Linked DNA regions of Drosophila melanogaster. Changing the gene in region 2 together with the main gene of any one other region gives a genetic interaction. Each region holds a gene or a part of one and is shown on either strand. Other genes may lie near its edges.

Region 1 (6,141 bases), 1.7 Mb from region 2:
ATTCTGTATGTTTATTAATAGTTTTGTTTAGTATTCTGATAACCACAGCAGCTTGGCACATTACTAATGGTTTTTTTTAGAGTTTATTGTACGTGTAAAGTGCTTGAGAACAAGTGGTTATATTTTTAATTAAAATTACTTAATAGTTATTTGTGAGCCCCCAATAAGTTATGTAACGAAAGTTGGTTCTTGACATTAATATTAACAAAATCATTAGCAGGAAATAATAATACTCAGCATTTGCTTCGTATATGATTATGAGTGGCTATAACTACTATTTTTATACTATTTTCGACGGATTATCTGTGAAAAAACATAAGCTCCAATCAAACGTGTCAATTGATTATTAATTATCAAATTTTTAGAAATTCCACCCTTCTTAAAAGCTTTTAGCTACCACAATTGGAAAAATCCAAATGTTCATTACATATATGATAAGATGGAATACATTATCGGATCGGTAGCCTTTGTATAATTAGGACCTAAAATCCCAAATTGACTAAATGACACATATTTTGTCCGGAAAAATCTTGAAGATCCTCTTTGTGACAGTTACCAGCCAGAGGTAGGCACTCACCTGACGCAGTTGCTCAAATGGCGTTCGCCAATTGTCGTATGGGTAGCGGCCCGTGGCCATTTCGATCATGCCGATGCCCAGCGACCAAACATCCGACCTGATGTCGTATTGCGCCGGATTTCCTTGGGGATCGATCCGTTCCGGCGCCATGTACGGCTTGCAACCGGCATCAATGGTTTTGGCAATGGAGTCGACGAGGTAGCCTAAAAGTCAGTCCAATATTAGAATGATTACAGTGGCAAGAAGTCACAGAATGCCAGCCCACCTGAGATGCCAAAGTCACAGATCTTGACCTGGCCGGCCCGATTGATCAGTATGTTCGAGGGCTTGACGTCCCGATGAATGACTTTCAGTTGAGCGTGCAGATAGTGCAGCGCACTGACCACGCTCATGGCAATCTGTAAAGCAAAGGCAGTAGTACGGTAATAGTATAGTGGCGATTGCCCGATAAGATTAGACCCGCCCCCAATCCTCCCCAGCTGACCTTGCCCAGCACGCTTTCCTCCATTCGCAGATCGTGAAGGAAGACCTTCGGATAGAACTTGTCCAGGCTGGTGCTCATCACCTCCATGCAAATCCAGACATCGCCCTCGCGATACATCGCACCATAAAAGTGGACGGTGTAGGGGCAGTCGCTGGATCTCATCGATATGTCCAAATCCATTACAAGGCGGTGCTGTTCTCGAATATTTACGGTCATGGGTATGCGTTTGACGGCCAGGACCGTATCGGTTTGCTTATGGCGCATCTTATCCACGATGCCATAGGCGCCACGGCCCAGATCGCAGATCTTCTCGAGACTATCTGCATCGATGTCAAAGGTCCGGTCGCCAATTTGGATGGTGGCCCGCGAGTCCAGGTTGCGTGGCGGGACTCTAAAAGGATTGCCGAATGTAGTTCAATTCACAATTCGTTTCTGGCCAGGATTTGACCATTTTGACTTACATGGCGGCCTCTGGCTCCTTGGCAATGGTAAAGGGCGTGAGGCGGTGGCGTTTGGACATTTTGGTAGGCCCTTCTATATCCTATATCCTATATGCTATATGCTATATATACCCTCTCCTCTCCACGACTTTCCTTGGTGTTTTCTGGCGGATTCTGCAAGACTTGGCGGTTCGGTGCGAATCGGATGCGATGCGGTGCGGCTATTTTTACCGCATTTGGTCAGGTCAGGATTCGGATGCGGGTCGGTGATATGGGGATCGGATCGGTGTGGATCGTGTGGCCCGGGTTTTGCCGCCCAACCTTTCGCTATTGCCTTTGCTTTCCTTTCCGCACTTTTTGCACTGTTCACCGATCGCTTTTCGCTTCTCTTCTCGTTTTTCTCTCTTTTCCACTAGCGCTGGCCAGCCGCAGTTGGTCCTATCGATATATCCCAACGAGTGCAGCTATAGTATCGTCATACAAATAAATCGAAGTGCCTCGATAATAAATTTGCTTCCACCTGCAACGAATTTAGATAATTAAGTTAGGTATCGATTATATCTATATCTCTTTGTAAGCCTTCTAGAAAGTTGTTCCGTATATTCTTCATACCTATTTTTTAATGTTTGTTTATTTTCTTTAATTTTTTATTTATACATTTATAGACATTTATTTTAAGGGAAAACTTAATAAGTTCTAGCCAAGTGATGCCCATCTTAAGTTGCATTTCGGTATATTTATGATTCTTTTTAGCACTTTGGTCACTCCGTTTTCGATACGTAATGTTGCAAGTTTGACTGAACATATAGAATTCGATGTTTTAGAATTGTACTAAAATAATTTATTATTTTATTAATTAATAAATAGGTAGACCTTATATTATTATTTTAAGTACAAGAACAACGAAGTCTCTCGAATCGACCAATTTGAATTTGAAAAATCTATTATAGTTATATTATATTTGTATGAAATATCCTCTGAAAATTATTCTATCTCGGTAAAATAAAATCCTACATAGTTTTAGATGCCGTTCCTAGTTCGAAAACTGTTTCTGAGGTGCCGATGTTTTGCAAACCATCGATAGGCACGAAAAAAGATATTAAGAATTATCGGCGAAGAACCATCGATGGCTGATGCATCGATGTTTTTTTACATCACTATTGTACACGCGATTTAGGCAGCAAAAACGTACAAAAGCGAGTGATCAAATTGTGCCAGTGATACCGCCGCCCGCGGTCGCGAAACGAATCGATTGCAGAAGTGCGACAAACAGCGCCGCGAAAGGAAAACAACCGATGAAATATTCTCCCAAAAAAGGAGGAAAAAATCGCAAGTTGTTGTTGCCGTTGCTGCTGAAAAAGAAAGAGAGAGAGGGCGCTGCGTGTATGCCTGTGTGTGTGCGTGTGTGGGGGTGAGGATGTCTCTCTCTAATGCACAGTGACTGTGTTTTCCTTTTTTCGATTTTGTTTTTGTGCCCCCCCTTGGCAAACAACAAAAGTCCAAGCAATCCTTTATTTTTGCAAGTGTAAAGTTTACAGTGTATGTGTGCCGCCGAACAACAACAACATCAGCGACAAAACAAACAGGGCGCACAGCAAAACAATTCACACACACACGCACCCTCCCCCGCCTGCGCGCGCTTGTGTGTGTGTGAGAGAGAGGGAGTGAGTGAGAGGAAAATCGAAGAAGTGCTGGCCAAAAAACGGCGAAAAAAATTTAATAAATACCAAAATCCAACGATACTAGCAACTAACTATAAAAAATCGAACCAAATCGACTCGATATAATGTCCACCATTGAGTTCGAAACGATCGGCAGTCGGCTGCAATCCTTGGAGGCAAAGCTCCAGGCGCAGAATGAGTCCCACGACCAGATCGTCCTCTCCGGTGCGCGCGGCCCTGTCGTTTCCGGTTCCGTTCCATCTGCCCGCGTCCCGCCCCTGGCGACATCCGCATCCGCAGCCACATCCGCCACCCACGCACCTTCCTTGGGCGCAGGTTCCGTTTCCGGATCGGGTATCAGCATAGCCCAGCGTCCAGCACCTCCAGTTCCTCATGCGACGCCCTTCGGCAGCGCCAGCGCCTCGTCATCATCCTCATCCGCATCCGCATTTGCATCCGCAGCACCGGCGACGGGCACCTTCGGTGGAACATACACCCCGCCGACAACTAGAGTGTCGCGAGCCACGCCCACACTGCCCATGCGTAAGTCCTCTTTTCGTTAACTTCCTACTAAATCTTTAATATATAAAATTAATTGGGATCAACTAGAAAAACACTGTAGTTACCTGAATCTTTGAAAATCGTTGAAGAAAAATATAACAAAATATAATGTCACAACTAAACTCCATGTACCAGGGAATACTCTAAACCGCTATCTAAAAATGATAGCTTATCAAACTGCGTACTGTAACTCAAAATTTTCCAACGAGACTTTCCCGATTCGAATATTCGATAATTCTCTACTTTCGAAAGTAAATCGTTGTCGAAAAACAGTTTTGGCCGCCAAAAACGTGGTAAAACTTTCCAAGTAAATTTCCAAACGCACAAACAACATTTTTGATATTAATTCGCAGAAAGATCAATGTTTTATCGATCGAACATTAGACAGGTGAAATCTTTATTGATCCTCTGTGACAGGTGTGGATTTAAGCCAACATTTCTCTGACCGCAACTGTAGACAGTTTGTTAAGTGGTAATAAAAGTGGGCTGAGAAAAATCGTGATCCCCAAAAATGGTCACCAAAAATCTATATATACCGTACCGCCAACCGCAAGCCACAAAACCATCTTTTGTCCGCATTTGTGTAAATATTTTGTTAATAAATTGTCATTGCCCAATAAGCTGTGTATGTGCGCGTGTGTGTGTGTACATACATGTATGTGTGCTTAAATTGTGATAAGAGAAGTGCTCTTTTCTTGGCTTTTCCCATTGCTATTGCCATTGGGTTTACTTTGGAGCATTTGGATGCCGCCAACAAAGGGCAAACGCTATCGATTCCCCGACTGCATAACAGCTGCTCATAATCCCCCATTCCAGCACCTCAGCAGCGCCCCGTCAACCCCGTAGCTCTGCCGCTTTTCCCCCCCTCCGATTTCCCGTTCTGTTTTTCCGATTGCATAGATAAGACAGGCCAAGTGCGAACACCAAAAGCGTACCCAACTTGTTTTCGGCCTTTTGTTGGGCCAAACAAAAATAAAAAGAAGTCAAATCTACAGTGGTATTAACAGCTGTGAACCGCGTCAATTTATTTTCGCCTCGATTAGATTAACAATTCCTGGTACCATAACTGTTTGATACATGAACCCCAGAAAATGCCTAATGGGTTTTTGAATAATCAAATACATTTCGATTCGATTAGATTAGTAGTGGTTAATAGTTTCCGCGAATTTCAGGGGTACTTAAAATCACACCCAAATTTTAACAGTGTAATCAGCTATTGAATAGATTTTCAAGTTCGTGGTACATAATGAGCGAGCAAAAGTTAAATGAATAAATAGCTAACAAAATATAACGGTCTATATGTTAATTTATCAGAACAAAATTGGTTTATTAAAGACAAAAGTTGTCGTTATTCGATTATTTATGAGGCTTAAATTGATAGAAATTTTAAATTTTTCATGTAAGAGATGACGTTATTGTGCCCACGGTTGTGAGACCACCCACCGCCTTTTTTCGTTTCTTTTCCCCTTCCTTTTGTTATACATTTAAGTTTTTGCATATTTGTCTTGTATATTTTTCTTATTGGATTTTCATCTGCCATCAAGTGTTGTTATTTATTTACTTACATACTTTTTATTTACTTTTTGCATGTGTGCGTCTCTCTACTCGCGTTTGGTGCTCTCTTCCTCTCTCGCTCTCCGCCATTGGTTACTTTTTGGCATTTCCGGAGTAATGTCTTGATATGCCCGTTACTGTTGTTGTCATTTTTTTTGGGCCTCACATATTCCCACCTCCGCCGCACCCTGCCCACATTCGTTCATCGGACATTGTGCCGTGTCTCCTCTTTCGCATGTTTACAAATAGCGTTATTTTTTATGACGTGCTGTTGTTGTAGTGGCTAATTGTTGAATTGAATTGCTGCCAGGGAAAAAAAAACTTCGCAAACAAAAACAAAATCGCTCTCATTCGCTCTTCCTCTTCATGCACACACACACACACGCACACGATGGCACAGTGGGCAGCATTCGTTAATTGATTAGTGGCCTATGGTAACCCAATTGGAAGTTATTGCAAATATTTCAAAGGATTGTTTTTAAGGCATTTTTTTCGTATAGAAATTGAGAGATATGTGTTGGAAGTATTCTTGTTGTATATAATAGATATGCAAAATATTGTTTAATTTTTTAGTTAGATTGAATTTAATACGTACATTTTTATCATCATACCAACATATCGCTGTTTTCCATTGTATATCCTATAGTTTCTAGTGGTCCCGGTGGTGGACTGAATCGTACGCGGCCGGTGATACTTCCGCTGCCCACGCCGCCACATCCTCCAGTTTCGGAAACGGACATGAAGCTGAAGATCATCATGGAGCAGACCGGCAAGCTGAACATCAACGGGCGGCAGTATCCGACGGACATCAATGACCTCAAGCACCTGGGCGACCTGGGCAATGGGACTAGCGGCAATGTGGTG
Region 2 (6,236 bases):
GTTTTGATGTTTAAACTTCCTCTCTAGATGCTGACTAATAAGTCATAATAAGCTTATGTTTTGATGTTCAAACTTCAAACTCTCTAAATGCTAACTATAAGTATGGTAATTTAAATCTTAAGTAAATTGAAGTTCAAACTCTCTCTAAATCCTTACATTAATGCGATTTGCAGCAGAGCTCCACAGCCCATCCTGTCGATGGTTGTAAAACGACTGATGCTTATAGACTAGTCCGCATGGCGATAGAGTACGATCTGCAGCCGATTGCCTGGACCGGATCAGCATCAGAATTTCGGCGGGTGCTATGAGCTCTCGGCATTCTTCTTCTTCAGCGTCTCCATGACGCCGGCGAAGTTGGCCGTCTTCTTTTTGGCCGACTTGGGCGTGGACGTCTGGCTGCGGACGCGCATCTGGGTGGGGGCCACATCGTCGCTGAAATCAAAGTCGTTGGCCTTCTGCGGTCTGCGGGGACACGAAAATCAATCATAAGTTATGTTAACCTTCGGATGGTGCTGCACTTGTTCTTACTCCTGCTCAATGGCGTCGGTGGCCTGTTCGAGTTCCTTGCTATTGCCGCCAGATCCCGCCTCCGGCGATGGAGCCCTGCGTCCCGGAAATTGCCATTGCAGTTCCGGAATATTTCCCGCCTCCAGCATCAGATAGTAGCCCTCTAGCTCCTCCGCGTTGGCGGAGAACTTGTCCGCCGTATTCGCCGCCGGCTCCACATCCGTTGCCATCGTTTTCTCGGATTTAAACAATCCAAATGAACTGGAAATTTGCGTTTCTTTCCACAATAGAACCTATTGGTTTCGCGACCTTTCTGGAATGAAAGCGATAGTTTGCTTTGGCGTGCTTATCGAACAGTTATCGAACGTTCGTTGCTATCGATTTTCGGGCTTAGTGTTGCAAAGTGTCCGAGCTGGGCGGTTGATTTGAACACATTTGCTGCTCGAAATGGATTTTCTATTTATAGGTTTCATTATTCTCTTCTTTATTAAGTGCACACCCATGCCCGGAATGTTTCCGCTCCGAGTGCACACAACTTCGAGGATTGTTCTCGATGGCGCATTGTTTGGTTTAGGGGGAAGAACAATATTATCTTGTTGAGACTTTTACTTTTTAGGATGGAAAGTATGTGTTTAAATATTGTTAATCTGTACAAAGAAATAAGAACTAACAAAAATTAGACTTCCTTTTTAATGTATATTCCTCAAATTACGAACAAACGCTAATATGTTTTAGGAATATTTTAAAAGTCTTCTTGGCAATTTGATTTGCACTTGAAAACAGCTAAAATGCGTTAAAGAAACCAATCTCATGCATATGGAAAAGCCATCGATTATTCATTTTATTTGTATTTATTTACTTTGTGATTACTAAATTCTTAGAACTTTATTCAAAATCATTCTCGCCCGTCATGCTGCCGTTCCTGCTCCTCCGCTCCGCTCCGCATCATCCATATATATATATATATATATATATATATATATATCATATATCATATATCTCAGTTGATCTGATCTGATCGGGTCCACAACCGATTGCTGCCGGACACGGATATCCCTGTGCTGATCCTCCTGCTGCCTCACGAGCCCTCGCTGATCCTTGACTCGTTGCGGCTGGGTGTTTAGCGTTCTTTTCTATGACTTACACATACCATACATATACATAAGTATTATTATTATTATTATAATTATTATTATTATTATTATTATAATTATAATTATTATATTGTGGTTTGCTGTTTGCTTGCTTTGTATACTCGTATATAAAAAAGAATAATCGTACATATTTAATTTAATTAATTAAAAACACAATTTGATTGCAAAAAGAAAGGTTTCTACAATACGTAATTAAATACGGATACGTCCTGATCGTTGGTATTGTTGCCGCCACCGCCACCGCCTCCGCCGCCGCCCCGATTGGAGGAGCCGGATGATTTGTTAGAGCCATGAGCGGCGATGGTCAGCTGGTTGGCCTGATGGATCACCGAGGTGATGTCGCTCTGCGACGCCGAGATATCCTTGCTGGTCAGCACATCGCTGCTACTCGATCCCGACGAGATGTGTCGCTCGGCGATGCCGTACTGGATCGGCTGATAGCCGTGACTTGGATTGTACGTGGCCGAATATGGCATATAAATGGGCGGGTTCGGTAGCGGCCCGATGTCGCTGGTGATGCTCTCGGTGTCCGCATGGCTAAGCGCATGGCCGCCATGCCCGTGCGGCAGCTGGTGCGGATGCAGATGTCCTCGGCCCAACAGATTGGGATTGCGCTCCTCGTTCACCACGTAGTAGCACTGCTCCGAGAAGGTCAACTTATTGACCGTATGCTTGATGTAATTGCTGCGCAGCATCGCCGAGACGATCCTTCGCGCCTCCCGCCTATCCTGAACATCCTCCACATTCTCCAGCACCCAATTGACCGCATCGGCGCCGATAAATGCATTGGGAATCGTTATCTTTAGCCACATGCGATCCCTGATCTCCAGGCCGCTGTCCGGCTTCGTCATCGCCTTAACGATCTCCTCGAGGTTATTCTGGTCCAGACGCTCCTTAATCGGCTCCGCAATGTCGGCAATAATACTGTCGTGCGATGTGAGGGCCTGAGTGTGCGCCACCCAAGCACCGGGATCGATGGGTCGCACCGGCTCCGTGCGCGGAATGGTGAAGTAGCCCTTGGGATTTGGGTCCCAGCACTTGGCCACCACCAGCTTGATGGGTCCCGGCTTCTGAACGACTTCTCTCAGCACACGTACCGCCTCGTCGTTGGTCATGTTCTCGAAGTTGACATCGTTCACTTGGAGGATCATGTCGCCCGGTTCGATGCGTCCATCGAGTGCCACTGCGCCGCCTTTCATGATGCTGCCCACGTAGATGCCGCCGTCGCCGCCGCGATTCGATTGCCCGACAATGGATATGCCCAGAAAGTTGACCGCCTCCATGTTGATGGAGACGGTAATGATATTTAGGGACATGGTCGAGTCGGTTATGGAGCTGTACGAGGAGGTGCGCGACATGCTGGGCGCCCGTTTTTTGCGCCTCTGCGGCTTCTTGCGCACCTGCAATCGCTGAACGCTGCTATAGTCGGTCATGTCGCGGTCCAGCGTCAATTCGGATTCGGTGCCAAAGAGACTGGTCGAGTCCAGATCGCTGGAGAGCACGGATGCCGATTGATATGTGAGCGGTGGCGGCTGCAGCAGCGGATTGCCCATCATCTTCTGGTGATGGAGCACCTGCTGCTGTTGCTGCTGCGCCAGCTGGACAGGCTGCACCTGCTGCTGCTGTTGTTGTTGCTGTTGCTGGTGCTGCTGCTGCTGTTGTTGTTGCTGCTGCTGATGCTGCTGCTGTTGCTGCTGTAGCTTCCTGTTGGTCAGACCCATGCCCAATTCACACTCACTGGTTGGCAGCTCGGAGCAGTTATCTGACTGATTGGTACCATCGGCGGAGACCAGCCAGGACACCACTCGCCCATTGAAGCAGGGCAGTATGGTGGAGTCGTCGGCTATTTCCTCTTTGACCACACCGAAATCGGCGTCCATTGACTTGAAGAAGTACTTGTAGTTGTTGTTCTGCTTGTTCAGCACCAGCTTGAAATCGCGCAGCGTCACCTGGGCGGATGGAATGGGGATCTTCACCAGATACGGCGTCGTCTCATCGTCGATGTGGTATATCACCTTCGTCTCCTGCCCGCCGCCCCTGTCCGCGTCCATTTTAGCTGCGCCGACTGCGGAAATCCACGGGAAAACTCCTCGACGCGATAAAACGCGATCAAAACGAAATGCGATGGATGCGGTGGGGAGGTGGCGTGGGAAGTTGGTGGGGAAAAATCACAGGGAAAACGGGATTAAGCCAGGGAAAAGCCGATACAACAAACAAAATTCACTCGATTTTGCTTTTCTCCCCCTGGTCGCTCTAGCCCTCTCGCTCTCGCACGCGTTTCTTTTACTTTTTCTTTCTCTTTTTTTTGGGCTGGGTATTTCGATTCAATGGAAGCGGCGGCTGTTAATTCGTCGATTTGCACGGCGTTGATATTGCTCCATTAGCACGATTTGGTGCGCTTTAATGTCGGTGCACGCAGCGGGGGCAGGGCGAAACGAGCATATTGCTAGTTTATCAATAAATTTGTTAGAATTTTGAGACTAAAAAAAAACAGTGTGTTAGCCGCTCGTCACGCACGGAATGCCAAAGCGCCGGGCAGTTGGTCACACTGCCGGCGATGCCAGACCCTTTCGAATTCGAACATTCTTAACATTTTCTCAAACGAATATTCTGAAAAAGCGTATGGAAAACTACTAAAAACTGCAATGTATTTAGTTTCTATTGGAAATGCTCTCTCTAACGATATTTGCTTTACAATTTGAATGTAGTTCAAACACTTTTAAAATTAAATACCAAAGTTATCGATAAATATCGTTTAATTTGAATACTTATTCAAAACAATAAATTTATTATAATTTAACAAAATAGCAATTTCTATTACATAAAACATGTAGAATCTAAAACTACAGCTATATTGAACTCTTAATTGTATTAATTTACCATATAATGATGTAGCATAGTTGAAGAGTGTCCTGTTTAAAAGTAGAGTCTTTATCCTTGTCATGGAAACTTGACCAAGGAAACTCATCCATCCATCCACTTGAAGCCTGCGTTCCTTATCTTCTTTCGCTTTTCACACGAAAATCTCTAGCGTTGGCCGCAGTTTATTTATAGCTGCCCGATTTCCAGATAACCCCGCCCGCCATTTATCACGCAATGGCGCTCGTTATTTAAATCAGTTTTCTCTTTTATTTGTATGCTTTGAATTGGGATCACTTAGATATACACTCGACTAACTTACTGGCTAGTCCTCCACGCGGGCGTAGGCACATGTACGCCCGGTTTTATATTATTGAATCGACTACGATAATAGCAATTTAAAAAAAAAGGATTTCGAAGGGGGCGGGACTCGCGGGGAAGGCGGAGGGGGGCTATGTATTCCAACGCATTTAAAATAAAAATCATTATTGATATACCTCGACCGCCCGGAACTTCGCAATCCCTTCGAGAGTTGGGCGAGCATTTTACAATTAATTGTTTTCTTTAGTTTAGTTTATATTACATAGATACATCTGCCGTTTGTATTTATGTATGTCCGTCCGCTGTTTATAATATACGAGATATATATATATAAAAATTTATATAAATATATATATATATATATTCATATATATAAATATATAATTATATATACGTGTATATATATTAATATATATTTATATACATACATATATATATATACATATAAATATATATAAATTTACGCTACACTAGCTATTACAACTAAGTTAATGGTTTTACAAAAAAAAACTTGTATCTGTTTTATTACAACTACAGCATAAAACGAATTATCGAGTGTCCGCTTTGTTTGTTTGTGTATGTGTATGGGGGAGGGGGATGGGGATGGGGAGGGGAGTGCTGTGTGTGAATTATTTTTTACAATGTGATACGTGCTCTTCCTGTGGCCACCATGGACCAGGCCTCCACGCTCACTTAGCGTTGACCAGCTCGACAATGTTGCTGCTGATCGAGAGGCGATCGACGATATCCAGCAGGATCTCCACATCCTTGATGGTGGCAACCGTCTCGGGGGCACCCAACAGATTCACATGCTTGCCATCGATGTTCGCATAGAAGCATTTGTTCTTGAAGATGACGGCCCGATCGTAGGGCACGCGGCACGTGTTCTTGTCAACGACAACGCGCCGGAAGAGCACGCACGACGGCTGATACTTGTGACGGTCCTCCTCGGGTATGTTGTACGCCTTGAGATCGCCCGTAAAGATGGTCATTGTCTGGCGGGGCATCATCGACGGCGAGACCTTGTACAGCGTCACCTTGCTGGTCCATTTGCCCGATGGCACCTTTATCCGTGACGCCACATTGGCCAGCTTGACCAGCGCCAGCTCCAGGCAGGTGCGCTGCTGGCGCGCCATCTTCGACAACATATCCTTGGCCGTGCTAACCACATGCCACGTCTCATAGCAGGTGATCTTCTTTACCACACGACCATCCTCCTCGTGAAACGTTGTGGTCTCGGGCGGAAAATATTTGGGACTGTTGGCATCGTCGATGCCACCGCCGGTGGGCAATATTTCGCGCAGCGTTGTCAGCTCCTTGTCGCGCTGCTGCTCCTGCTGGTTCTCCTTGCTGCGACGCTGCGGAACCAGGCTCGGCTTCTTGAACACCGGCTGG

What was found. A genetic interaction does not mean that the proteins touch.
Region 1: of dsh (region 2) and hep, changing one suppresses a phenotype caused by changing the other (phenotypic suppression), as found in Drosophila melanogaster (5 studies listed by BioGRID).

The regions. Positions count from the first base shown.
Region 1 is NC_004354.4:13,086,923-13,093,063, reverse strand, and holds the start of hep (hemipterous), read left to right. Parts: upstream 1-2,629; 5' UTR 2,630-3,287; coding exon 3,288-3,705; intron 3,706-5,923; coding exon 5,924-6,141. Other genes in the region: lic (licorne), read right to left, coding at 578-780, 843-975, 1,062-1,452, 1,523-1,581. UniProt on the Drosophila melanogaster protein: Required for the epithelial cell sheet movement called dorsal closure (DC), which allows establishment of the dorsal epidermis. Controls the expression in the dorsal epithelium edges of another dorsal closure gene, puckered (puc).
Region 2 is NC_004354.4:11,353,830-11,360,065, reverse strand, and holds dsh (dishevelled), read right to left. Parts: upstream 4,186-6,236; 5' UTR 3,713-4,185; coding exon 1,841-3,712; 3' UTR 1,342-1,840; downstream 1-1,341. Other genes in the region: Pa1 (PTIP associated 1), read right to left, coding at 303-462, 529-737; CG1737 (uncharacterized protein), read right to left, coding at 5,531-6,236.